Drosophila melanogaster: one gene and its partner. The protein of the gene in region 2 interacts with the protein of the main gene of each other region in a pairwise test. Each region holds a gene or a part of one and is shown on either strand. Other genes may lie near its edges. The genes, in order: Cdk1 and CycB3.

What was found.
Region 1: the proteins of CycB3 (region 2) and Cdk1 interact in binary tests that used the Drosophila melanogaster proteins (3 or more experiments, as listed by UniProt).

Annotation. Positions count from the first base shown.
Region 1 is NT_033779.5:10,376,933-10,389,068, forward strand, and holds Cdk1 (Cyclin-dependent kinase 1), read right to left. Parts: upstream 9,331-12,136; 5' UTR 9,246-9,330; coding exon 9,097-9,245; intron 8,712-9,096; coding exon 8,208-8,711; intron 8,151-8,207; coding exon 7,910-8,150; 3' UTR 7,807-7,909; downstream 1-7,806. Other genes in the region: dpr19 (defective proboscis extension response 19), read left to right, coding at 390-456, 865-1,010, 1,079-1,289, 1,356-1,467, 1,559-1,932, 1,991-2,238; gny (garnysstan), read left to right, coding at 3,217-3,881, 3,981-4,178, 4,231-4,390, 4,445-4,849; CG5096 (uncharacterized protein), read left to right, coding at 5,408-5,515, 6,075-6,614, 6,682-6,869, 6,935-7,029, 7,093-7,205, 7,264-7,695; mRpS7 (mitochondrial ribosomal protein S7), read left to right, coding at 9,812-9,855, 9,930-10,542. UniProt on the Drosophila melanogaster protein: Plays a key role in the control of the eukaryotic cell cycle. Required for entry into S-phase and mitosis.
Region 2 is NT_033777.3:24,857,783-24,872,503, forward strand, and holds CycB3 (cyclin B3), read right to left. Parts: upstream 13,035-14,721; 5' UTR 12,747-13,034; coding exon 11,019-12,746; 3' UTR 10,152-11,018; downstream 1-10,151. Other genes in the region: ppk22 (pickpocket 22), read right to left, coding at 1-15, 75-359, 419-647, 701-968, 1,019-1,152, 1,206-1,395, 1,462-1,668, 1,733-1,929; CG13639 (uncharacterized protein), read right to left, coding at 2,329-2,538; CG13640 (uncharacterized protein), read right to left, coding at 3,951-4,349; CG7016 (uncharacterized protein), read left to right, coding at 5,199-6,287; Srg1 (Sting-regulated gene 1), read right to left, coding at 6,496-6,924; Elal (Elastin-like), read left to right, coding at 7,588-8,062, 8,230-8,744; CG3744 (uncharacterized protein), read right to left, coding at 14,170-14,371, 14,437-14,629. UniProt on the Drosophila melanogaster protein: Cyclins are positive regulatory subunits of the cyclin-dependent kinases (CDKs), and thereby play an essential role in the control of the cell cycle, notably via their destruction during cell division.

The DNA of each region.
Region 1 (12,136 bases), on a different chromosome or scaffold from region 2:
ATACATATATCTGTATGCATATATGTATGTTTGTATCCGTGACATGTGTTTTTTTTCTGTGCATAAAATATTAGTGAAGAAAGAAATTGAATTCCTCCACTTAAGTCAAGATTATCCCAAAAAAGAAAAAACATGATACAAGTTTCAAGTTGTTTGCGTGACCCATACATATAAATATCTTGTATCTGCGAGCTATAAAACATACATACATACTCCACGGTGCATCGTTGTTGCCACAAATATTTTTAGAAATACACATTGGACATACATACATACATAAATACAAATGTACTCATAAACTGAAGTTCGTTGCAGGAGGACAATGTTGCTGCGGGTATAAAGTTGAATTAGAAAAGTATACGATCCGCGGAGCCTCGAATTCGGAAATAATGGAACCGAAAAGATGGCACTTGCATTTATCATGTTTTTTGCTACTCCTTAGTTCAACTTTTTCTGGTAAGCAAAGGTCGCCAACTTTATGAATCGTTAAACGATTTTTATCACTTTTGCGCTAAGTTGTATGCTATAAATTGGAAGCGAAAACCTTCGATTGCGTTTTTACTTTATTTTGATTGCTTTTGAAGGTAAATAAAAAAAAATATTAAATACCAAGAGAAATTAGTGAACGAAAAATTTTATTTCTATGCAAAAGTAATTAAAAATAAAACGAAAGCTATGAAAACGAAAGCTATGAAGGCATAGATAAAAGATACATTTTTAAGTTTCATTTTTACATTTTACATTTTTAAGTTTTTTTTTTTTAACATTTCACCGCAAATCACTTTGGATTCATTCATTTCATGTGATTTTTGACACATTTATATTAAGAGATTTTGTTTAATATTCATTGAACAACCATTTCAGATGTCGGGAAGATCACTTCGTCTCAAAATCATTTTGGTAACACCTTACAAAGTCAATTTAATACGAAGAACAACACTCGAGTTATTGCACAAAAGGGAGGACTTGCCATTCTGCCCTGTGTGGTCAAAGTTAACTCCCCAGCCACGGTGAGATATATGTTTTTCTTAAAATTTATACATCGATTCTAATACTTAGACCTTTTGCAACATTTCAGGTTTCCTGGATACGTAGAAAGGACTTCCAGCTCCTGACAGTGGGCCTATCCACCCACAGTAGTGACAAGCGATTCTTGGTGGAGCACACGCGGCACATGGGCCACTGGTCCCTGAGAATTAAGGCAGTTCGGGAGGAAGATCGCGGTTTTTACGAGTGTCAATTGTCTATTTATCCAACTCAGTCAATAGTTATAGAATTAAAGATTGTCGGTAAGTGGACGCAGCTGCCTTACAAAGTTCAAAGCTTAACGGGTATTGAATCTTTTCGTTGTATAGAAGCGGTAGCTGAGATTTCTAGTGCACCGGAATTGCATATTGATGAGACTTCTACTCTGCGACTCGAATGCAAACTGAAGCGAGCTACCGAGAATCCTGCATTTGTTTTTTGGTATGAAAAATAATATGAGTTAGATTTGTAAAATTTTATATTATTCTAAACATAAGACCCAACTTAACCGAATGCAATTTCTTCAATTTAGGTACCATGATAGTAAAATGATCAATTACGACTCACAAGGCGGCTTCGTTGTGACATCGATTGGGCAAAGCAATCCGCAGAGTGGCCAGTTTTACCGTAGCTCGCCGGCGAACAAATCGCGCGCCACCATGCCCATGGAGTCCAGCAATGGGGTGCTCAACAGCCTGCTGGGCAGCTCGGATGCTATCAAGGCACCGGCCGCCAATGTGCCCTCCTCCACGCCCTATATGACGCAACAGCATCAATCCGCCTATCTCCTGAATCCCTCGGTCAGTGTGCTTACTGTGAAGCAAGTCAATTTCCGTCATGCCGGCAACTATACATGTGCTCCATCAAATGCCCGTCCTGCCAGCATTACAGTGCATGTTCTAAGGGGTAAGACCGCCGCCGGTCGATATTTAAATATATGTCATACTCATTGTAATTATAATAGGTGAGAAAACGGCGGCCATGCAGCACGCCAATCGGAGCATTTTGGATACGGAGACCAACGGCAACGGCACCTTCGGATTGATCACATTGGGTGGACTGAATGGAACTAGCGGCGTAACTCTGGCCGGGGGAATCCTCTACTTCTCTGGGCTGTTCCTGCTGATGGGCGCGGTGGTATTCGATCGATTCTCGTTGGCGGCAACTCACAAGGTATTCGTAGCATTTATAATAGTCACTATGCATAGCTGAAACTTATAATCGATGGTATTTGGAATGGAGCAACTTCAATCATTCGAGGATATTATATTTGAGAATATTTGTTTTAAAATAGAAGATTGTAAATAGATCATTGACATACCATATTGAGATGCCGGCGTGGGCATGGTAAGACATTTAAAGTAATCTAAGAATAAACTGTAAATAGACTTCCATTACATGCAATGTATTGAATTGAGAAATAAGATGAGAATTCACGAACTTGTTACCACAAAACTTATAAAATGCATACCTATGCCAATAAGTCATGGGGGATTGAAAACCGCATATTTTGATGGTTCATAGTGGTACGTAAGATATAATGTATGCTTAGATGTTCATATTTATTGACTGGTACTGGTACTGACATTTTAATGTTACAAACAATGGAATTAGCGTAAAATGATAATGATAAAGCCATACAGATTTGTTACCTAATAACTCGGAAAATTTGATCGTCACCTTTAAACTGTTATTCTGCTCAGTGTTCGATATTTAGTATATAGATTGATTTATGTAAGCACCTTTAGAAGTATGCTAATTCATATACTGTATGTACAACTGTAAATAAATATTACTTCCGTGAGCGTTTTCAAAAGCGCTGTCTTCAATCCAAAATGGGCAGAAGTGCCAGTTTCGTTTTGTTTACCCTCGAATACGGAGTGCAAAACGACTTTTAAATTTTGTTGCCGACATAAGAACGTTTTAAATAAACAGATCAATTTTAAGAAACCCGCTTCTGGTTAAGTTATTTGCTCTTCAGTTGGGTGGTACACATTTAAAAAATGAATACGAAAATGTTATGAATATTTTTGAACTCATTTTCAAATGTAAGACCCCCTTCCGATTTCTGTTTCATATACCGCAGTTCCGTGAGGTGCAATCTTAGCTTGTCGTTGTATTTGACACAAGTTATCGATAATTCTACATAGCTGAACTACCATCGCTGAAAAATGTTGGCAAAACAAAAAGATGAGATCCGAAATTTTGGCAAGCGCCTTTTTGGGCCTGGCGGTTAGGTCGATTATCTCGCTGTACTCCTACTCCGGCTTCGATTCCCCGCCGATGCATGGCGACTACGAGGCCCAGCGCCACTGGCAAGAGATCACGGTCAATCTGGCAGTGGGGGAATGGTACACAAACAGCTCCAACAACGATCTTCAGTACTGGGGCCTGGATTATCCGCCTCTGACGGCCTACCACAGCTATTTGGTGGGTCGCATAGGAGCATCCATTGACCCCCGCTTCGTCGAGCTGCACAAGAGCAGGGGATTCGAGTCGAAGGAGCACAAACGCTTCATGCGCGCAACAGTTGTTTCTGCTGACGTGCTCATCTATTTGCCGGCAATGTTGTTGCTGGCCTATTCCCTAGATAAAGCCTTTCGAAGCGATGATAAATTGTTCCTATTCACGCTGGTGGCCGCGTATCCCGGACAAACACTCATCGACAATGGACACTTTCAGTATAATAATATATCACTGGGCTTTGCCGCCGTGGCAATTGCCGCAATCTTGCGAAGAAGATTCTACGCGGCTGCATTTTTCTTCACTTTAGCCCTTAATTATAAGCAAATGGAGCTGTATCACAGCTTGCCGTTCTTTGCGTTCCTTCTGGGTGAATGTGTAAGCCAAAAAAGGTGGGTACTTGCGATTCAAAACGACTTTTTTTTAATAGCAAGACAGCTAAAGAATCCTCGATACTAAATCTAAACTCATCTTAATCTTTTCAACCACAGCTTTGCTTCTTTTATCGCTGAAATCTCACGGATAGCAGCCGTTGTCTTAGGAACATTTGCTATTTTATGGGTTCCTTGGTTGGGATCTCTGCAGGCCGTACTTCAAGTACTCCATCGCCTGTTTCCTGTCGCCCGAGGAGTTTTTGAGGACAAGGTGGCCAATGTTTGGTGTGCCGTCAACGTAGTTTGGAAACTAAAGTAAGAAAGTAGAATCAAGTTGGATACAATTTTGTAATGTAACAAATTGTAGGAAGCATATCAGCAATGACCAAATGGCCCTTGTGTGCATTGCATGCACGTTAATTGCATCTTTGCCAACAAATGTACTACTCTTTCGAAGGCGAACTAATGTCGGATTTCTATTAGCGCTTTTCAACACGAGCCTGGCATTCTTCTTGTTTTCATTTCAAGTAAAAACATTGAACTTTAAAGCGAGTTTTGTATTAAAACTTATATATTTTTAGGTGCACGAGAAGACCATTTTGCTGACTGCTTTACCAGCACTTTTCCTACTTAAGTGCTGGCCCGACGAAATGATTTTATTTCTGGAAGTTACCGTATTCAGCATGTTGCCTCTTCTAGCAAGAGATGAATTGTTGGTGCCCGCCGTAGTGGCCACTGTGGCTTTTCATTTGATATTCAAATGTTTTGATTCAAAGTCGAAGCTCAGCAACGAATATCCACTGAAGTACATTGCAAATATATCGCAGATTCTGATGATCAGTGTTGTGGTTGCTTCTCTGACCGTTCCGGCACCTACAAAGTATCCAGATCTTTGGCCCCTTATTATTTCGGTTACAAGCTGTGGACACTTCTTCTTGTTTTTCTTGTGGGGAAATGTTCAACAATTTAGCAGCAAGTTAAGTTAGTTTCTAAGATAAGCATTCCATAACAATATCTACAACATAAGCCAAAGAAATGTTTGTAAGCCCTTTATCGAGTCTTGTTTTATTTTGTGCCAATTATGTTTAATTTAAGCAGTTAATTCAAGGTGAAATAAGGTATTTGGGTATAAATGGCTTAGTCACTTCCAATACTCTTATAGCCCTTTTCCCGTATCTTATCATGGATTTAATCAGCGTATAGTGTCTACACTATGCACAAAGGGTACTAGTGTGGATATAAACCAAAATAATTCAGAATTAATATTGTAAAAAGATTCACTTGCTTAAAATATGTGAATTTTGGTTTTAATCTTATTGAATTTAATTTTAACGCATTTCGAAAGTCGAATGACCCACAAAAGCGACTATTTTGTTGGATAGTGTATCAATGCTTTTGAAGAGATAAGATAAGATAACTCGTGAAATATTAGGTGAATAATATGTGGGGTTTTGTTCATTGTGCTCTTGTTAGTTATGTACAGTTAATCGATCGGTGAACACGCCTATAGTTCAATTTTAGTTGGCAAAAGAATTTTGAGAACTATGAATTTAACAAAATCAGCTACGTTAGCTGCTGCGATTTTTTGTATCGTTTTGAGCCAAGTTTCTGGGCAGACGAAAGATGAAACCACCACAACCGAGACGCCAAAGGTACCACATAAAGTGTTTAATTTTTAATTTTCTGAAATTGGTGTGGGTGTGCGTATTACGAATGCAATTGTAAACTGAATAATAAAGCCGATTACATTACCAATGGAATTGATACATATAGTTAGATTTCAAATATCATTTGTGCAACTTAACTAAAAAGATATGTGCATACTGCTGTAAATTAGTGAACAGATTATGTTAAATTGTGTTAAATATTTGTGAAAGTAATAGAATGACTAAATTATATGTATCACTATCAAATTCGTGATAAGAAAAAGTCTTGCAAAGCTAAATCGATAAAGATGACTCAAAGAAAGACCGAAAAATTCACCACACAAAAAATTTAAAAAAAAATGAGAACAGTGTGTAATATAAATAAGTTGTTTAAAAATCGCAATAAAATTTAATTTAATTTCTATGTTTGTCGAAGGTAAAATTAACCATCTAAAAATTAACGAAACCGACATATTAAGACATGGCAAAGCTATGTCCAAGAAACATTTAACTATATGGTAATCATTAGTTATTTAGTTCGCTATATAATACACACTACTTGCAGGAAAAAATCAAAGTAATTGATAGCAAATTGTGTAAGAAGTGCAATTGCTATATCGACACCAATTTGCTGGATTGCTCCGAAAAACTGCAGGATTGGTTGTCCGCCGAGGACTGGGAGGATCTGACCAACGGCAATGTTGTGTTCAAAACAATCAATCTGGAGCACAACAATCTGACCAGCGTGCCAATTCTGCCGAAATACGATGTGGAGAACTTGTACTTGGCTAACAACCAAATCGATTCAATTTCCGTGGGAGCTTTTCAGAATTTAACCGAACTAGTCACACTCGATTTGTCGCATAACCGATTGACTTCGAAAGTTCTGGTACCGGATGTTTTTAAAGGACCCTTCACTGTCCAAGATTTTGAGTCATTGGAAAATCTAAAGACTCTTAACTTGGGATACAACGATCTGCATAGCTTGGATGCGGATCTGTTTGAACACATTCCCCACATTGAGGAACTCGTTCTCTGCTCAAATAGTTTTCATGTCATCGATCAACTTTCAGAAACAGCCATTTCCGGCTTACAATCGTTGAAGGTATGCGAAATTCATATGTTTTTATAATTCTACGAACTCAAAAGCTCGTTTATGTTGTTCGTTTTAGATCTTGGATGTCTCTTATATGGAAATCGATGACTTGCCGGATACAATTCTACATGGTCCCCGAGATCTTGAGATCTTTATAGCAGCTGGCAATCTGTTTAATCAATTGCCAAAGGCCCTGAAATATGCGACGAACTTGACCAGCCTGGTCTTAAACGAAAATCCCATCGAAAATTTGATTGGCGACAAGTAAGAGTCATTCTAGGATTCGTTTAAGTGTATGCGCAAAACAATATATTTATTAATTTTTTCAGTGTATTTCCACCTTTGACCAAATTGACCCACCTCAGCATGACTTTTATGTCCAAGTTGTACAAAATTGGGCCAGGAGCATTTAGTGAACTGCAAAGTAAGTTGTGAACCTGCGCGCACTAATGGCTAATGGCTTAATCGAACAACCATCTTTCTTTAGGTTTAACTGAACTGATATTGTCCGACAACAAACTGCTAAATGAAATTGATGAGGAGGCTCTATCCAAGAACGTAACTGGTGGCCAGTACTTGGACTACCCGCCATTGGAAAAGGTAATTCAAGTGCAAAAGCATGTAGAGCTTTAATCAACTAAATAACATAAACTTTTAGGTTTACTTGAATAATTGCAACGTGTCGACTTTGCCGAAAGAACTACTAGTGCGCTGGGATAAACTTAAGGCTCTGGATCTTAGATTCAACCCGTGGAATTGCGACGAATCCAATGACTTCTTGATCAACGTCTTGATAGATCGAATCAACAAGACCACGCCCGTTCTGGCCAAAGATGTCAAATGTGGCGGTCCGAACAAGTTAAACGATGTTACGCTGCTCAGAGTGGCGAATGAACATATGATAGAAAGTTCGACGGGCAGTCTTATATGGGTTGGACTCTTGGTTGTCCTGCTCATCGCGGTGCCGACCATCATTGGTGCTTACGTGATGAAGAGGCGCGGCTGCTTTGGCGTCTTTAGACGTCATGACAGCGGTGCTAGCAGTGCTCTCTATAATAGGACTAGTTTCAACGAGGATTTCCATATTTAACTTTCTTTTTGTATAATAATTAAAGCCTTGAAGCCTTATTATTCTGTTAGAGCGCTGGTAATTTGGCGTAAATCTGTAAATACACTTACATAAATTAAGTAAACGTTGATTGTTTTACACCCTTAGTTTTATTTACGGCTATTTTGCTTTAGATTAGATACCAAGATCTCTTGTTTTAAAATTCTTAGTTAAAGTCAAACGAGAATACCGAACGTTAATTTCGAACTAAGCCCGATTGAAAACCATTGAAATAGGGATGCTCCAAAATGTCCTTGGCGGAAATGCGATGAACTGGATCGTAGATTAACATCTTTTGTATGAGATCAATACCATTCGCATCGAGATTCTTTAACTGATTGGTCAATTGGTTCGTGGACCAGCAGGGGAACGTGTTCTTATAGTCGGGTAGCGAAGTAACGCCCGGCCAAATGTCTTCGGTAGGTGTTTTCAGAATTCTGCAATCAATGAGTGTGAGTATCACAGGGAATAGAAAGTAAATTACCTGTGGTTACCTAAACATTCTAAACAACTGGTCAATTTCCGAGTCACCCTGGAATAGCGGCTTTCTCGTTGCCATCTCCGCGAATATGCATCCAATGGACCAGATATCGACGGGACAGGAATACCGGGGTGAACCCAGTAGCACCTCCGGCGCTCTGTACCACAAGGTAACAATCTCGTGCGTATAAATGCGCACCGGAATGCCAAAGGATCGGCCAAGTCCAAAGTCGGCGACTTTTATGAGGCCACTCTTGTCGATTAGTAAGTTCTGCGGCTTAAGATCACGGTGAAGTACTCGCCGACGATGGCAGAAAAGAATGGCGCTAGTTATTTGGTACAAATAGCTACGGACCAATTCACTCTCCATGTGCTTATCAACTGGCAGCGAATCCATGTATTTCTTGAGGTCCATCGATAGGAATTCAAAGATCAAGTATATGCGGTTCTCCTCCATCAAAACATCCTCCAAACAGACAATGTTTTCATGTTTCAACTCCTTAAGCAACGAAATTTCTCTGTAATGGATATTAAATATTACTACATTATAGAAAAAACATGTGATTAAAGTATTTTAGTTATTGGTCTATCAGTTGAACCAGAAAGTATTCGCAGGCTTCCAATTAATAAACATAAATAGAAAGTATGATGATGTACACATGAGCATAAGTACGCATATAGGATTGTACATACACACACATATGTATGATGAACATAAGCCGTAACATAATTATGCTAGACTTCCACAGTATAAATTAAAAACAATATTGCAAAATCTTCAAACCAACCCATAAGATGTCAAGGAACATACTTTCAATTAAGCATATAAGCCATTTGAATGGAAAAGTCGCGAAAGAACATGAAACATTTTGAGGCTTGGGCGTCCAAGCCGCGGCATTTTACCTGATCGCGGTTGATGGAACGCCTTCGTCGTCGGACTCCAAGCGGATTTTCTTCATTGCCACAATTTGGCCCGTCAGGCGGTTGCGACCCTTATACACCACGCCATATGTGCCCTCGCCAATCTTCTCAATTTTCTCAAAATCCTCCATAATTTATTAAGCTATTTCTTTGCAAGCCACCGACTTTTAAATTAGCGCGTTTTTGACGTATATGCTCTAGTATTACCAGACAGTTTAAACGATGCTAAGCTAGCTACATTTATTCATTTGGAATGTGGGAATGAAACTCAATATTCAGGCAACTTATTGAATTGCTGTATCTTAAAAATGTTGTTAATTTTTTTAAAGTTAATTTTAGTGTACTGTAAAATTCCACGCTTTTTTTTATAGTGATTTCAATTAATTAAGACATCACTTTGTTTGAGTTCGGAGACAAACGTTTCTGCTAATATACTATTAATTAACTTATGAGTTTTTGGTGCAATTAATTTCTATTTTATATCTTTTGAAGGTGAGTACCAGTAGTACGGTACTAAAGAAATTAATTTAAAAAATGTAATTGGAATACCGCAACTGTTTTACTTCATTTTTGTTGTTTCAAAATTACTAAGCTCTTTGTCGATATCTTGACACACCTATATGCATGCCGCAAATGTGCATAACATATATATAACATAGTTTTTTTATTTTTTGCCGACACAGCAGACGATGTAAACATGTCGCTTTTAGGTAGGATTGCAGAGAAAACTTCAAGGCTCAGGTAAGTTAAACTTCTCTAAAGTGTTACTTATCTCTAAAAACACAAATGACTGATCACCCATTTGTTTATTGTAGCTGCCTTCGATTGATGTCGGTGTATCCCACACACTATGTCGAACCAATTGTACAAAAATATAAACAACTAGAGCAAAAGAATGATCTGTCCAAGCTTTACCATGTGCCCATCAAGGCGGCGGTCAACAAATCGTCTGATACCATCTTTCACGACGATACAAAACATAAAATGATCAATTATATAACGAAAAAGGGGAACAGTGCCTTGGCCAGAACGCTTTTGTCCAAGACGCTGGAGCTAATAAAACGAACCCAGACGGAGCACATGAATCTGGCCAAAGGGGAGAAGACAACCATAAACACCAATCCCGAAACGCTTCTGAAACAAGCGGTTGAAAACTGCCGACCGCTCCTTCAAGTGACCGCCATAAAACGTGGTGGTGTCACCTATCAAGTCCCTGTTCCCATCACCACGAAGCGGTCATATTTTCTGGCCATGAAGTGGCTCTTGGAAGCTGCCCGCGAGAAGGAGCGTAAGGTGTCCCTGCCGGAAAAGTTGGCCTGGGAGATTCTCGACGCAGCCCATGGCCAGGGAAGGGTCATCAAGCGAAAGGACGATCTGCACAGGCTGTGCGAAAGCAACCGCGCCTACGCACATTACCGATGGAGCTAAATGCACAACAAACTGTTTTTCCAATGCAATAAACTTTTCATATACCTGTTAATATCTATGATTAGGATTTGTGTCCGGGGAATGTCTTAAGAGAGCGGAATATCGAAATAATTCCTGGATTTATGGGGACTAAAAACGAGGACCTTAGTAAAATTGTATGAAGCTATGATACCATTATAAAAACACATTTCTAATATTTTTTCTTTATTTTTCCTTATACGTTGTTTATAGTAGATTTGAAAATTGGATTTTCCAAATGGTGTTATAGCTATTGAAACCCAAAGTTTTTCTTATTACACTTATACTAAGTTTTTATATAAATTTCTTCAACCCATTTACCTGGTTCGTCGTGTTTTAAGCTTCTGAATTTAATTTAAAATTATAGCACAGCTTAATAACAGAGTCTACTCTTTTTAGAATTTTTCTATTTAATTTCAGTATAAAATGCAATTTTATACAAATAAATTATCCTGATTGTCTCAAAAACATATTTTTTCAAGTGCAAAGTTAAAAAATGTAACCTGTTTATCGCGCAACGACAACGGTGTAAACAGTGCGTTAAGGTTGTCGAGGTGTACGTCTATCGAAGGGACTATCGATTCTTATCGAATCGCAACGCTACAGATGACGCACGAAGAGAACAAAGATGGCGATCCCGAGCACACGAAAATTAAAACGAGCTGAATGATAAATAAAGAATTTTTTACCTATAGTTGAAATTCGCATAAGCGCAGTGAACTAAAATAGTTAATAGAAGTGTCATGCATATTTGCAATGTGTAAACGAAGAGTTTATCGCAAAACGGTTTACTTTAGCTGTGCATTTTGATATAATCCCAAAACACATAATCGTACTACTAGTTGAAGTCGACTGGACGACATTACAAAAAAAAAAGTTGGGTAAACTTATCAAACTGTTGTTGAAAACACAAGGATTCTCGGTATTAATACGAAAGAGATATGTATATGTAATACATACGCTGCTGGTGGCTCAACGTCAACACTCGCTGCAACAAAAGGAATTGCATACATAGAATTAACAGTGGATATTAGGGTGAGTACTTTTCACGAAATGTATTTTATTTCGGTGCAGGGTATGTTTTCTAGCCGTTCGATTACACTTTTTATGCTGCCCATGGATCTGCATACGTTTATTTGTTGAATGTGTGTATATACCCGTGCGTATACAGCCTTATGTACGAATTAATTCCTCTTAAATGTATGTGGATACCATTTTCATGATTCTGCATACATACACATGTATGTATGTATATGTATATACGAATGCTCGTAAACAAAGTAACTACTTATGTACAAACGAGTAAATGGGTGTAAGAGCGTATGAATTAACTTTATTCTCCAAGTGCGTGTGCTTGTGTGTGTGTGTGTGCGTGTGCATTTGTTCGTTTGGGAAGTTATTTTAAGTTTTATTTTCGTGCAACAAACTCACGGTTTTCATATACCATGTACGTGTATATTTAATGTAAGTATCATGTACATGTGTTCATGGAAAATGTTGTGAATCAGGTGTAGAAACATTTCAAGAATCGGTATTGTGTTAGTTTGTTAAATAGATTAATATCATTAATGATTAT
Region 2 (14,721 bases):
TGTTACCTATGGTACCTGTAAATTGGAAAAATTCGATACAACTGGCCATAGGAAGAGTGTAGATCCAAACCCACTGAATACTTCGAACCAGGTGTTATTCAGCAGTCGGATATAGTATTGGGCATGGGGGTCTCCGAAGTAAACCCTGAGAACGGAGATGTCTGTACCGAACTCCGTCTCGTTGTTCTCGTCCAGCTTCAGCGTGGCCAGGTAGTTATCGATTGGCAGGGCACTCATTGAAACCTCGTACTGGACATCCCGGCAGGAGGGCAGACATTGTGGGCAATAAAGAGCCTCCTCGATTTCCCGCTCCAAGCCATTAACAATGTGCCGTTCCGTCAGTATATTGCGCCACTTAACTGGAAACGAAAATATTGAAATGGAAGAACGTGTGCGCGTAAGCCGCTGATTGGCTTACATATGTACTGATTGAGACAGGAAACGTGTCCCAAGGTGCAGTAGACAACGCCATCGAGATTTTCCACCAGTTGAAGGGGCATTTGGAAGGGGAGACACCGGCACAAGGCAATGATACTCCGGATCCGGCACCTGGTTATGCAATTCGGGAAGGTGTAGCTAAGGCTGTACGTGTTCATTAGCTGCTCATGGATCGGATTCTGTGCCTCGTACTCAAAATAACAGCGGCGCTATAAGATTGATATTATAGGTGGTCTTGAATTTGAAAAATAGAACAGCATACACTGAACGGCGAAAATGATTTTAGGCTATCATCAGTGTCCACCACTCGCGCGCAGACCGCAATGTAGCTATCCTCTCCTTGGCCAGGAAACATCTCGAGCACATTGGAGGAATAAACCGAGGCATAGTTTTCAGCATTGTGAATCATGACAATGTATCCATTGGTGTTCAGAATGGGGGCAAAGTAGTCCACGTGACTGTCGTTCAAGACTACTTTCAGACCCAGTTCCGAGCTGGCTAGACGATTCTTGAAGTGCCGTTTCTTTAGTCTGTTGAAGATTTGGTTAAAAAAGAAATAATAATAAGAGCTACCATTAACTTGTTCTCCATGTTGAAGGTGCAGCAGGGTCCGTACATGGTAAGGCTATCCTGAAAGGCATCCTTGCTGAAGCAGGGCACTTCCACATTGGCTACGGTGCACTTCAGCACGAATCCTTGGCATCGCGGGGTCAACTGTGAAAAATAGAAACAAGATTCAATATATTCTCGATCCGTGCTATTCTTACCATTTTCATTATGCGGCGAGTGTCGAAAAAGGTCTCATTGTTCCAGGTGCCGAAGACGTCGAGGAAGGTCTGGAAGGTAATGAAGTCATCGGTGTCCACCACTACGCCAACGTGTGTATAGAACTCGCGGAAGAACCTTAGGCGCTCTAGAAAGTATTCCACTGGGCGAATTACAGGACTGTTTAACCTCCTAACAATAAATATAACAACAAAAATTTAAGTACACAAATATTTATTTCAATAATTTTAGCCTCACAATTCTTCAGCATATTGGATAACTGCCTGGCGAGAGATGCGATTGTTGGGGCAGATGGAAACAGCCGGGAATGGCACATTCTCCACTGGAAAAAGAGGATCCTTCAGATTGGTCACAAAGGATTGGGCCACGAACTGCTCCCATGTTAGCGAGAGCACCACAATCAGGGAGACGGTGGTGGCCATGTGTACCAGCAACCAAATCAATCTATTAAAATATGACTATGCCGGCTTACGTTGCGTATGAGTAATATTTGGGAAAACTTTTGTACCTTTGTCCCAAGGTCAAGTCCGGTGACAAAAGCTTATTGTAACCCTGTAGGGATATGTTTCTAACCAGATCCGCCATATCCAAGCAGAAGGCTGAGCCCAAGGACTCCTTGCGTTTACCTTTGGAATTATGTTCCCCGGCTGCCTTGGGATTCTTAATCCACCAAATGGCATTGGATGTTGATGCCAGCTTGACCATATTTCTGAGGTCTTTATTTACTCCAATCCTTTCCGAGCTACTGTTTGTTGAACTCTGACTGGTAACTAAGAGTTTGTATAGCTTACAAGTGTTCATTGATGAATAAAAGTATCACGAAATAGGCGTGACTAGCTAATGCGTTTCCTTCATTAATGCGGTTAATTATGATTAGTTTAGGGGGAACTTTAGAAGTTAAAGCAGAAAGGTTGTACTTTATGACATTTTTAATTGCCATAGTATTCCATTGGAATAGTCTTTGACACACTGTTCATGTTACTAATCTTAAGCTTAATCCTATTAAATATTTTCCTGTACAAGATGTAGCAGTTCATTGTCTAGCTAAAGCTGAGTCAAGTCTTTAATGTATGTTTATATGAAGTTAACCATGCTAGTCCAGTCCTATCCCATTGGCCAGAAGGGCTGGCCAGGATAAATGCGGGATCCGGGAAAGGCGTACTGGTTGGGATTGACCACTCGGGCGATATCCGTGTAGCTGCGACCGTCACGCTTCGGTGTTTGATGGTATCCACGGGCCGGGGAGCCAGACACGACGATCAGAAGAAGGAGCAGGGCGACCATAAGGCAATGGATGGCTCCTTGGACGGACATGGCTTGCAAGAATTGATATGTGAGTGCTCCGCTTCCAGTACTGAACTGCACTGATGCCGGTGACCAGCCTATTTATATGGATATCGTCGGCTGATCGGTTCTTGGCGTTCTCAGACGCTTGGCTTATCAATCAGGTTTTCGCAAACGACTGAAGCCCCCAAGAGAATTGCTTTGCCGCTCACGTAGATCTCGTCTCTTTGTGTGAAATGGATTTTTATGATCACTTTGTTTTCTCAATATTTACTGACACGGTGCCCAGCGCCAAGTCATTCACACCGCAGCCCGTTATTTCATCCGATCGGCAGTGAGTTGGCATATACATATGAACATCCAACACCTGATCTTGACTCTAATTGCACTGTGAATGATCTAGCCATATGTAGGCAACTCGACCCAGCCTCTCAGCATAAGTGCTCGCTCGTACGTATTTAAATTGTAATTAGCGACTCTGTCGGGGTATTGGAGTAATGACGTAGGTGCGCCATCTGAGGCGGCGTATTAGCACATTCTTGCATAAACAATTGCCATGTTCGGCGCGATTAGTTGCCACTGACTTGGGCACCGAAGTCTTCCTTCCTGTACTGCGATCTGGTTTCTGGTTTCACTTCCTCAATGCCGGTCGTCGGTGCTCCGGGGGGAAGTCCTAGCTGACCAGCTGCATCTCGGCGTGAATCACTTGCTTACTCGTGCGCAAGTACCTCGATGGGATCGTTAAAAGACTATATATACCACAGTTGTGAGCCATGATAAGTCCAGTCGGATGATGACTTGGGTCATTAACGGATCGAAGAATTTCTGGCAACTATGTCTGTTGAGGTTTTAGCAGGTTATTAAATGATTTTGGCATTAAGCTTCTTCCGGCAATACTTACGGCTTTACAAAGGTTGATGTAATAAGAAAACTATAAAAATAATTGAGCTATTCATTTGCCAATTTTCCAGTTATGCGAAACTCATTATTTAGGGGATATTTAGTCAATGATTCGTTCGATCAACTACAATTATTAGTCGCTTATTAAAATATTTGTCAGCCATGAGAATACAGAATCAGAATATTCTGTCGTGCATAACAGATATGGTTAGGTATTACCCCAAAGAAATCCCTTGGTGTGAGATCCCAGTCAGGGACCTTACCCACTACCCCACTGTCCCAATCCCCACATGAAACGATGTCGCGCCTCCATTTCATTACAATTACCATCACGTTCCGGCGATCCACTGGACGCGACTACTCCGCAAATGCGGGCTGATGATCATAAATCAGTTGATCGTAGATTAATATACACGTACGCACATGTAGCGGGCTTAAAGTGCTTAAAATAATTAACAGCTTGTGGTTAGATGTAACTTTCGCTGATTTTATTTTAATGGCTAATACTGCTGACAACAATGCGAGTTCAGACGGTCGAATCGTTAACCCCAAAGGGCGGAATATGGAGTACGGGGCAGGAAGCGACTGCCTCCAGGACCGATGTATGGATCGGGATTTATAACTCTTCGAATGTCCGAGTAAGTGCGTCCTTTGCGGTTTCCAGAAGGCTTGCGTCCTCCTTTGGAGTATGAGTAAGAGGAGTGGCCTGAGTAAGCTGGGTAAGAGTAGGAATTATATGCGGGATAGTTGTAACCATATCCTCCAGCATAGCTTCCATAGCCGTAGTTTCCCTGACCGTAGCCTCCATAGTCTTGTACTCCACTATATCCAGTATATCCTTTTCCCGTCTTCCAGGACTTGAAGAACAGAGCGCCACTCGAATCCAGGCAGCACGCAATCAGCAATGTTAGGATAGTCAATCGGGAATCGCGGGATCTCATCTTGCTTCGATTTCGAATCACTTCCAGTTCTGACAGTTCATCTACGCAGTTCCCTCTATTTATACCCTTGTGGATTGGAGTTGGGCACATTGTGATGGTGACACATTGTGGTCTAGCTCATTTCAATTCTTTTTTTTTACGACTTCTTATTCCCATAAACACAGTCGGAATCTCTGGAAGATTAGCGTGGCCAATGGGCAAGCGACTTAATGCATTATGCTGGATTTATTATAGCACGCGGATTGGCACGATCAGCATGCGGAGCACGCTTCATCCGCTGGAAGACTGAGCTATCGCAGATGGTAGATGGTCAGTATACAACGGACATCTCATACCCCAACCATTATATAAACTTCCATATAAATACACACTGCTGAGATCGTATGAGTGTACTTCAAATAAGAATTTGAATTAATTAAAATATAACACTAACATACAGAGATCTGTAAAGACTGGACGGATACTACTAGTAAGTCCCTTCCATTTATTCCTCTATTATGGATTTTTCATCACTTGAAGTATCTCTTTCATCGCCTGTATCTCTTATTCTTTTATACTTCAATCTGTATACTACATACTATATATGTATCTCAATTTTTGTTTTCAAGCTTCAGGTGTTTGTTTACTTTTCGTCTGATTATTATTATGATCATCTCTCTGAGACCTATTTTGGAGAGCGGTTAAGATCTCTCTGGTTGCGGACACTGATTTTCATCATGCTCTCACTGATCGCCGGACAGGTTTTCAATGTTTAATCAAGCATCAACGATTATCGCATAGGCGGAGCGTAAAAGTTCCCCCTCAGTTAGAGTCCGCCTTTTGTGGTGATCACTGCTCGAACACCCGAACATGACGCGATCTTCGCCAGCTTGGTGTGCTGGCCAGGCCTGGCTCGTCTGGCTTTTGGCATCCATCTGGATACGCACGTGTCTCGCGCAATTTGCAGTCTCCTCGTCCTCCGCCGGCGGAGCTGTTGCCTCCGCCGGTGGCGTCACTGTGGTGGCCCAGCTGCCCGGTTTCGGAGTTATCAATGGACTGATCAATGCCATGCACAACAACAACCGCTTCAACCAGCAGCCGCAGTTCGAGAGACTGCAGCAAGGAAGGCCGGGGATGGGTCCGAATCGAGGAGGAATGCACAGACCAGGATTTGCACCACCCAACCGTCAGCAACCGACGCCTCCTGGCTGGCCACCCGGCTGGCAGTGGGGAGCCGGTGGAAATCAGAATCAACCCGGATTTGACTGGGTTCAAACAGGATTTGCACCAGGCTGGAATGGAGGTGGAGGGCAAGGACCAGGATGGAATGGTCCAGGATGGAACGGAGGCGGTGGAAGAGGACCTCCACCAAGACCAGGTTTTAACGGCGGCGGACCACCGCCGCCAAGACCAGGATGGAACGGCGGCGGGCCACCACCACCGATGCCAGGCTGGAATGGAGGAGGGCCACCGCCACCAAGGCCAGGATGGAATGGCGGAGGACCTCCGCCACCAAGGCCAGGCTGGAATGGAGGGATGGAACAGGAATGGGATAACTATCCACGCCTCCCCGATCAGCCGGATCCCAATGATCCAAACACGAATTGGAATCCAGATAATGAGTCTAGCACCACTCCACAAACGCCAATACCAGGACCCATCTTTCCAACGACAACACCTAAGCCAGAGCCCACCTTTCCCACGATCCAGCCACGTCCAACCGCTCAGCCAACGAAGGATACGCTCATAATAGGAACCAATCGACCGCCGTTGGTGCCGCCCCATAATCCGGATCCACCCACGCCCACTTTTCCCACTTGGATCGTGCCGGAGCCATTGCCAAAACCATTGGACGAACTCTCCGAAAATCGTGCTATTATATTCCCCAGCTCTAGCAAATATATCCATGTGCCAAACCCGGAGGTTCCCTCAATTCCCATTGATGTGAGACGAAGATGAATCTTCTAAGAGGGAGTTCCCCGATTCACACTTGTTGTATATATATTCGTAGACCATTGTTCAATTGCTCCACCCGAGATCGTCTTTGTCATAAGTTCAAAACAGGTTCTAAAAGCTCGTTGGAAATAAACGAAATTTTAATAAATTACACATAAACAAATGAGACAGCACATGATTGGATGAGACTGGGGTATCTGACGGATGAACGTTAGTAACCCCGCTGCTTGTAACCACCTCCACCTCCGTAAAGATCCTGATTCTTGTGCGGATAATGGACACTGGCAGGATGAGACGGCTGAGAGTAGTATCCAGGCGAAGGACGCACTGACCAAGGTGGTGGATAGTAGTCATTTGCTGCCGGAACCGGTCGTGGTGGGTAATAGGCATAGCCACCTGGATGCGTCTGCTGGTGGCTACCACCGTAGCCGTAGCCTCCACCATAGTGATAGTCGTAGCCCTGCTCGTAGCCCTCCTGGATGAGTGGACCTGGTCCAGGATGTAGCTGTGGATCAACTGGCCTTGCTGGCGGATAATGATTTGGGTCGCCGAACAGAAGCTCCGCAATCTTATCGAAAGTGGGTCTACCGTGGGCCAAGCTGGCCAGGATTAGCACTAGAATCGCAGCCAACAACTGCATCTTGGGATATGTAGAGCAATTTTGCTGATAGTCCCAATGTCCATGCGGCTTTTATAGCCAGCAGCAGCACATGGCGATAAGAAAGATGAATGGAATCGAGTGGAAGAACCTTGGGTAATGGAACAAATGCTATATGTACATATGTACTTATAATACTAATCTATTGACTGGTAAACAAGGTTGACTGGGAAAGCTTTCGTTCTCTATATAAAGGGAGGATCATAACTCATGATCATCATCTATGCAAAGATGAGTTATGAATTGCTTGGGAAATCCCTAAACCAAAAATGCGTCTCAACTTATCTATTACTTGGCTTTAGGCCGCAAATTTATACATTGCAAGAAATTTATATATAACATTTATATTTATAAATTTGTATATGGGTATTTCTTTAAAAAATTCATTTATTTGTTCAAATTTATGGCTAGTATCTATGCATATGCACATTGTTGTGTTATATTTTCAACTTTTGCTTTCAGTGTAGACTCTCTCATTCAATTTACTAGAAAGAACACTCAATGAGACTTAAACTACATATCTGGGCATTGAGCCCCTGATGATAACCCCAAAAATAGACACTCAGCTAAGCTCTCGTGTCATCAGATCTCACCATGAAATACACGCGCCGTGAGCTTCTGGGCTTTAGTGTACCCAAAGACGCCATGTTAAGCAGGAGGGTCATCGCATTCGCCGCTCTGGCCCTCATCCAGATAGCCAGCGGTCAGGCCTCGCAATTCAGCAGGGACGAAAGTCAGGAGGATCAGAAGACGGAGTTTAACCTGGCCTCCACTCTGACGGGAGGCATTACCAGCAGTCGCCATCGCCAGCGGGCCAATCTCAATTCGCAACTTTATCCTGGCCTTGGTCAGCTGGGATCGGGTTATGCGGGCGCAACTGGATCCATCGACGATGCCCATGGCCATGAGCAGGGTGGCTCTGGCGTACGAGTGGCCAGTACGAACTCCGTTGTTTTTCCTGGCAACCAGTCACCAAATCCGGCACTCACAATTACAGGAGGTCACCAGATTCCCGCTTATCCGCCTCCGGGTTTTCCTGGACAACAGGCTCCAGTTCCGTACCCAGCTGCAGGAGGCTCTTCAGGAGGATCCTCATCATCCGGTGGTTACCAAAGTGCAGGTAGGTCCTTCTAATAGGTGGTTCATTTATCTTAGTGAAATCAGAAAACTAATATCAAGTCTTAACTCCCAAAAAAGTTATACAAAATTTAAAAGATTGGTGAATAGCAAATCCACATTTTGAAATATATATGAAATTATGATATTAATGAAATGTCCCCTTTTTAGGTGCTGTTTCTCCTCCTGGCTATCCTGTTGCTGGAGCAGTTCCTGCTCAGTATCCGGTGGGAGTTCCTCCCCAGCAGCCAGTGGGTGCAGGAGCACCTGGTTACTTCCCGGGAACTGGTGCCTATCCTGGCTATCCCTACCCCGGAGTATACTTGCCACAGTACCCAGCGTACCCTCAACCAGCCCAGTTCCCCGCCTATGGAGTGCTACCCGGAGCTGTGGCTCAACCAGGAGTTCCTGGAGTAGCTGGAGTTCCGGGAGCACCTGGAGTGGCAGGAGTGCCCGGAGCAGCTGGTCAGGCTCCTGCCACCAGCGGCATGAACTATCATCGCTATCCGGCTCACAATCCCGCTGATCCGAGCCATTGGGACCATCATTTCTCGATGAACACCGAGTACAAGGAGGATGGCGTCCACAAGGGACCATTTGGAGTGCTGAACAATCACAATGCCTTTGGCTATGGCAGTGGATATGGGGGCGGATACAACGGTGCCTTCAACTCGCCGGCCTACTGAAGCTGGCCGACATCATGGGTGGACCTCGGTGGTGGTGGTAGTGGTAATGGTGTTGGTGGGGCGTGAAGTAATCCGAGTCGTAGTCATAACTTCGCTGCTGCCTCCTTGGCCAGAGGCAGCTGTCTTTGCCTATCATCCTGTGTGTCCCTGCGAAATAAACTTGATTTCTGCACACCCAACCAAGATAATTAGCAATGCTGGCCAGTTACCAGTTGCACCTTGAACCGGAAAAAATAAAGCACATGCACTCGGCATTCTGCTCCCATACAGACAGCTAACCCAAGACATTCACATCCCATCCTTATTCTTTTCCTTATTCTTATGGCAATGCCGCTTCTTTTATCCGGCGTGGACACAATCGAAGACGACAGGAGCTACCTGGCTGGCAGGCAGCCGAAAAAAAGGGAACGCACAAAGGCAGGACTCTGGGCGAGCCAAAGGTGGTGGTAGAAAATCAGCGTCAGAGAGAGACGCTGTTACTGGTATTGGTACTCCTGGTGCCCTTCGCTGGACCCAACTGCAGCGACATAAATCGGCTGGGTTTCGCTGTGCAGCGGAAAAGAGAGGGCCGAAGGAAAGGAAAGGAACCCAACCAAGGGACGACGTCTTGATGTCTTGCGGCGCATGCGCAGCCTGCCGCGCAAATCCTTAACAAATTTTTGGCGCTAAAATGACGGACGAGCGCGCCAAAAGCAAGGAACCGCAGGAAACTCGAGAGAATCATGCCCGGGGTATACAGACTACGAGTATACAGACAGACACTTACACTCATGGATTATGAATGATTTGGACGGACGGTATCGGTGGTTTTTACCTGTAGCAAATCGAACCGATTCCAGCCAGGGTTTGATGTCCTTAGGTCATCAGCCATCAGCTGTTCTATGATGAGCGCGGAGAAAGGAGCACAGATTCAGCTGAGAGGATTCGAAACAAAGGAATTAGAATGGGTGGGGTAATGGGTATACTCACGGCAAAGAAGTCTAGATGTGCTAAACGTTTTCCCTTAACCTTTGACATCTAGGAGTTTATGCTCTGTTTCTAACAATTAAAGATTGAACTGCAACAAATACATACATTCCAGATTCTAGGAAATTGAAAATAATGCCCTAAATTATTTAATCCCCTAGGAACTAGGATCATTTCCAACATGCTGGATAAAGACAGCTAATTTAAAATACTTATTTAAAGTAAACATAAACACTAATGATACTACAATTGCATTCAACTAGTTATATCTGAGTTAATACTCACCCGATTTTGAAACTTCCATCAGGTTTTTAAAAGAGTTTTCTAGAAAGAAAAATAAAAATACGAATTTATTGCACTTACCCTATTAAAAGTAAGAATTTTTTCACTTCGCCCACCGTTTTCCGAATGTAATGATGGTAAAAAGATTGAAGTATTTTTGAACGGACGTAAAAATGTTTATTGGTATTCTCTCGCAAAACGATACATACATAACACTGAGTACATACATAACTAGTTACTTCAACAATGCAACGTTATCAACCATCCATGGATAAACGAGGTGAACTGAGGCAGGGCGGGGCGGGGCGGTATGATCAGGAACTGGGAAGTTGATGGTGAGCGTCCTTCGAGGGGCGGGAATGTGAGCGCAAGGAGGGGAGTCCATGAACGACTTAACAAATAACAGCATTAATAACGACGACAGGAACAGATGCACATGGCGTACATGGCGTGCACGGGACGAGGGTTGATCGCAGCGCATTTCCAGGTTGTACGGGACACACGTGCCTTTCATAGTCGCTTCGTATCCTTGCGTTTGTGTATCTGTGTAGAATAAGTTAGTGGGGATCCGTGTCTGCTTTGGTGGCTTACGAGTTAGGTTTATTTAATGCTGGCATCTCTTAAGACTAACGTACATATTAAAACATGAATCGTTTTGGGATTTTTTGGGTGGGGGTGCTAAAGATAATGTCGCCTTTCGAGTTTAGATTGATTGTGTTCGGCTACGTATGCGGTATGTGGGAAAATTAAACAATAATACATGGCAAAAAGAAACAAAAGCACTCTTAACATAATATTTATGCAAAAAACATGTCAATAATGCGAAGGTCACAATAATAATTAAAATATAATAAATTGCGAGGACTTGACGGGAACACTAGGTAAGGGGTAAAATCAGGGGTTTTTAGATTAAGGCGGGGATCCGCTGTTTCGTCGGGATGGGGCTAATATTGGGAATAGAAGCGTCTTAGAGCCTAAGTGAAGCGTATCGTATCATGTTGAATTTGGCTAAACTTTGAGGCTGTCCTACGACAGATTGCTTTCGTTCAGGTCAAGGTTGCCCTGGAAGAGCTCCTGGTTCGTCAGCAGCGGCACCTTGGCCACCTCGTGGAATATTTTGTGCGAGTACTTGTTCCGTATCGTCTTGATGGTGGCCCGTGGCTTGCGATGCAGTCCTGCATTGAGCGCGGTCACAATTTCAGCAAAGTCCGCCAATTGATAGCCGGTGTAGTAGATAAGCGTCGATGTCCACGTCTGCTTGTCCAGCTGCCCCGGACCGCCGTGCATACGCAGTGCCATGAACAGTGCGGCCGAAGCCATCTGCGAGTCACTGAACGAAATATTGGCGTAATCCATGAGCGACAATTCCAGGATGTATCGAGCCAGGGTCAGCGTGGGCATAGGCACCTTGGCGCATCGGGCATAGCGGCGCAGGAAACGGTACGAGAGCGGGATGCCCAGATCGTACTTGATAACGCGCAGCGTCTCCCGCTCCATTCGCACCAGCTCGTCGTGATTATAAGCACCATCGCAGATATACAAAAAATCCTCTATAAGCGGCGGCTGTCGCTCATCGTACTTGCAGGCAATAAAGAAGGCAGCGGCGCCCAGAAGTTGCAGCTTCTCTTTGTTGATCACCTCGCGGCAGAGATACAGATCGACGATCTTAACCGCTAGGTACAGAGTCTCGTGGTTCAGCTCGAACGTTTCCTGCACCTCCACCATCCAGTCGACCAACAGGGTGCGCATCCAGGTGGTCAGATGGATCTGCCTGGGCATATAGTCGGCAATGGGGAATTCCGCTTCGCGCACTTTGAGGTAGTTGAATATATCCATGGCGTAGTGGGACACCTGGAAGGGATCGTCCCAGTTCTTGCGGTCGAAGTCCTCTACTTCCTCGGGCACTGGCGGAATGGGCACCACCTGGCTTGGAGCAGTCTCTGGGAGTGTCAGCAACAGCGGCTGTGGCTGCTGCTCAGTCTTTTGCTGCAACTTGGCGGAGCGACGTCGCGCCGCCTCAAAGTTTCCAGACAGCCGCATGGAGTCGCAACTGGAGACATCCTCCAGCGCGGACATGTACAGGCTGTCCTCAGTCTTGTTGAAGTCATTGGAGATCCGACGAACTGGCTTGACGGCGGCAACCTGGGGAGCAGCCAGATTGTGCGTGGGCGGCAGTAAAACGGGAATCTGCATAGGATTTGGCATGGCCGGTAGCTGAACCTCCCCCAAAACGGTCTTTTTTGCGGCAGGCACTGCCTTGGGGCGCGGTTTGGGCCTGGCCAACGCCTCTTCCAGCTTATCGAGCACTTTGTGGCAGTTCTCCACCGAATCCTCCACTTTACTGGAGGCGCGCGTAGTCATCTTACTGGCGCCAAAGACATTTACGCTGAGATTCTCCTGTTTCTTAGCATCCATCAGGGCCTGCAGCTGCTGGGCCGTTGGCTTTTTGCCCACGCCCGACTGCTCCTCATCCTGTGCCGGATGCAGTGTCATGATCTTAACATTGTTGGTCAGGTTACCCAGCGCCGAGCGCTTGATTTTGTCATTTTTAATTGGACTGTGGTCGGCCTTGCGTTTGGCGCGCGTCTGCATATTCTCCACATTCGGATCGATGTTTCCCGTGGCAGCCGCCCTCCGAGTCAGTCCCTTCCTAGTGGCAGCTCCCAGGGCTCCCAGGATGGGATTCACTGCCTGCTGCAGCTGATGATGCCCGCTTGTGATGGCCGCGCGCGTTGTTGCTTTTGTGGGCGCCATTTTGAATGCGTGTTTGCGTGTGAGCGCACTCGTCGTTTGTTGTTTGTGTTCTTGTGCGCGGCGCCTGGAGTCCTCGTCTCCTCCACTTCCACTTGGTTTCAGCAAGATCCTCGCTAGCGGATTCCTTGCAGAATGTGGTCTTTGTGTTGGCTAGAACTTGAGTCGTTCGCTACTGCCGATATTGTCGACTCGATCAAGCCTAGACATTCACACAAACTCACAATATAATTCCGGATCGAGTTTTGTGGAGTTATGGCGCTTGGCCGGAGGGATAGAGAGCACTGAGTAAAAAATCAAAAAAACACCGCCAGATGCCAGATGCAGATGCGGCCTGCAGTGTGACCGTACCGCGGCGTTCGGTCGCCTAACGGAAATCGACTGGAATACACCTCTGTGGTGAAGGTAGGCATTGGGGGTAGTCTTCCAGAGCGCGGCTAATTTAAATGTCTGAAGTTCAAAACATGTGAATTGAACTATTTGGGCAGTTTGCTTAAATATGCAATTGCAAATTTATGGAACTAAGAAACTCATCAAAGTAGCCTCGAGCAGCTGACAGAAAGGAATTTGTTTAAATATATTTATTTAATTAATTGAACAGTGCCCAAAAATCCCCATCAATCCAAACAAGAGAGAAAAGTAAAACACCTGCTTTTACACACAACTGTTTATTTAAATGTTAAACAAAATATATGTATATATACGTTTGCTTGTATCAGTTGTAAAACTAATGATTATATATAGGCATAATTAATATTAAATTTAATTCAGTTTTTGTTGCTTCAGCCAAACGCGGGTTTCTAAGAACTCAATCAAGTATGCATACGACTTGCGTCAGGTTTATCGAAGAGATATATAATATATATATATATATATATATATATGCATGCGTAGAACTAACATTAATTGATGGCCTGCCCCAAAGGCATGACAAGTTTAAGGTTTTTTTTTTCCGTTTCTGTGGAAAACACGCATACAGTCACTCATACTCGTACATACGCACTAAAACACAACTTATAATTACTGATAGGAAAAATGTACATTTGCGGATATCAAACACAATTAAAACATAGTTAAGAGTATATGACGTGTGTTGTAGAACATTAAGTATAAATTAATTACAATAAGCTGCTTGGTCTTGATCTGAAGTCTAATATTGGGTGGCAGGTAAACTTTCATTCATTCAACTTTCCATTATACTTACAACTGCGTACGTTTATAAATTAAGTATGCTAAAAATATGATACAAATTTCGTTTTCTCTCATTTTCTTTATCGAATAAAAACAATAGTTCGAACAACAAAAATTCAAATAAAAACAAAGACAATGATGTAAAAAACTATTGCAAAGGGACGAGGGCGTGGGGCGGGTCTAGTTTTACTGCCTAAGCAGGCGATCTTGTTTCGGCTGTTGACATTTACGAATCTCATAAGTTTTGCAAGAATGACAGTAATTTAGTTTCGTAGTTTTTATTCGATTCCAGATTACGCAACGAATGCCGCTCCTCGGGGAACAGATGCACCTCGTACGGCTTGTTTGCCTTGTTCAAAGCACTGATCAGACGCGAGGTGTGGCAGAAGTGCACGTTCTCGTCGATCAGGCCGTGTATGAGCAGCAGGCGTTTGTCCCTGAACAAAAGAAAACATGAATGTTTCGAAAATTTGACAATTTAAGAACCAGCTTAAGAACTCACTCTTCGGGAAAAGAGTTTACGTATTCGAGCACCGAACCGGCTGAGTAACCGGCCTCGTTATTTTGCGGCATATCCATGTATCGTTCCGTGTAGCCCGTATCGTAATACTCCCAGTTGGTGACCGGCGCTCCGGCAATGGCCACTTTAAAGATTTTCGGATACTGAACCAGGCCCATCAGGCTAAGATAGCCCCCTGTTGAAATGACAACCATATGGAAATTATTGCAATGCCTTTACCTTTACCCAGTTCCCTCAATTGAAAGTAACCATTATAGTGCATTAATT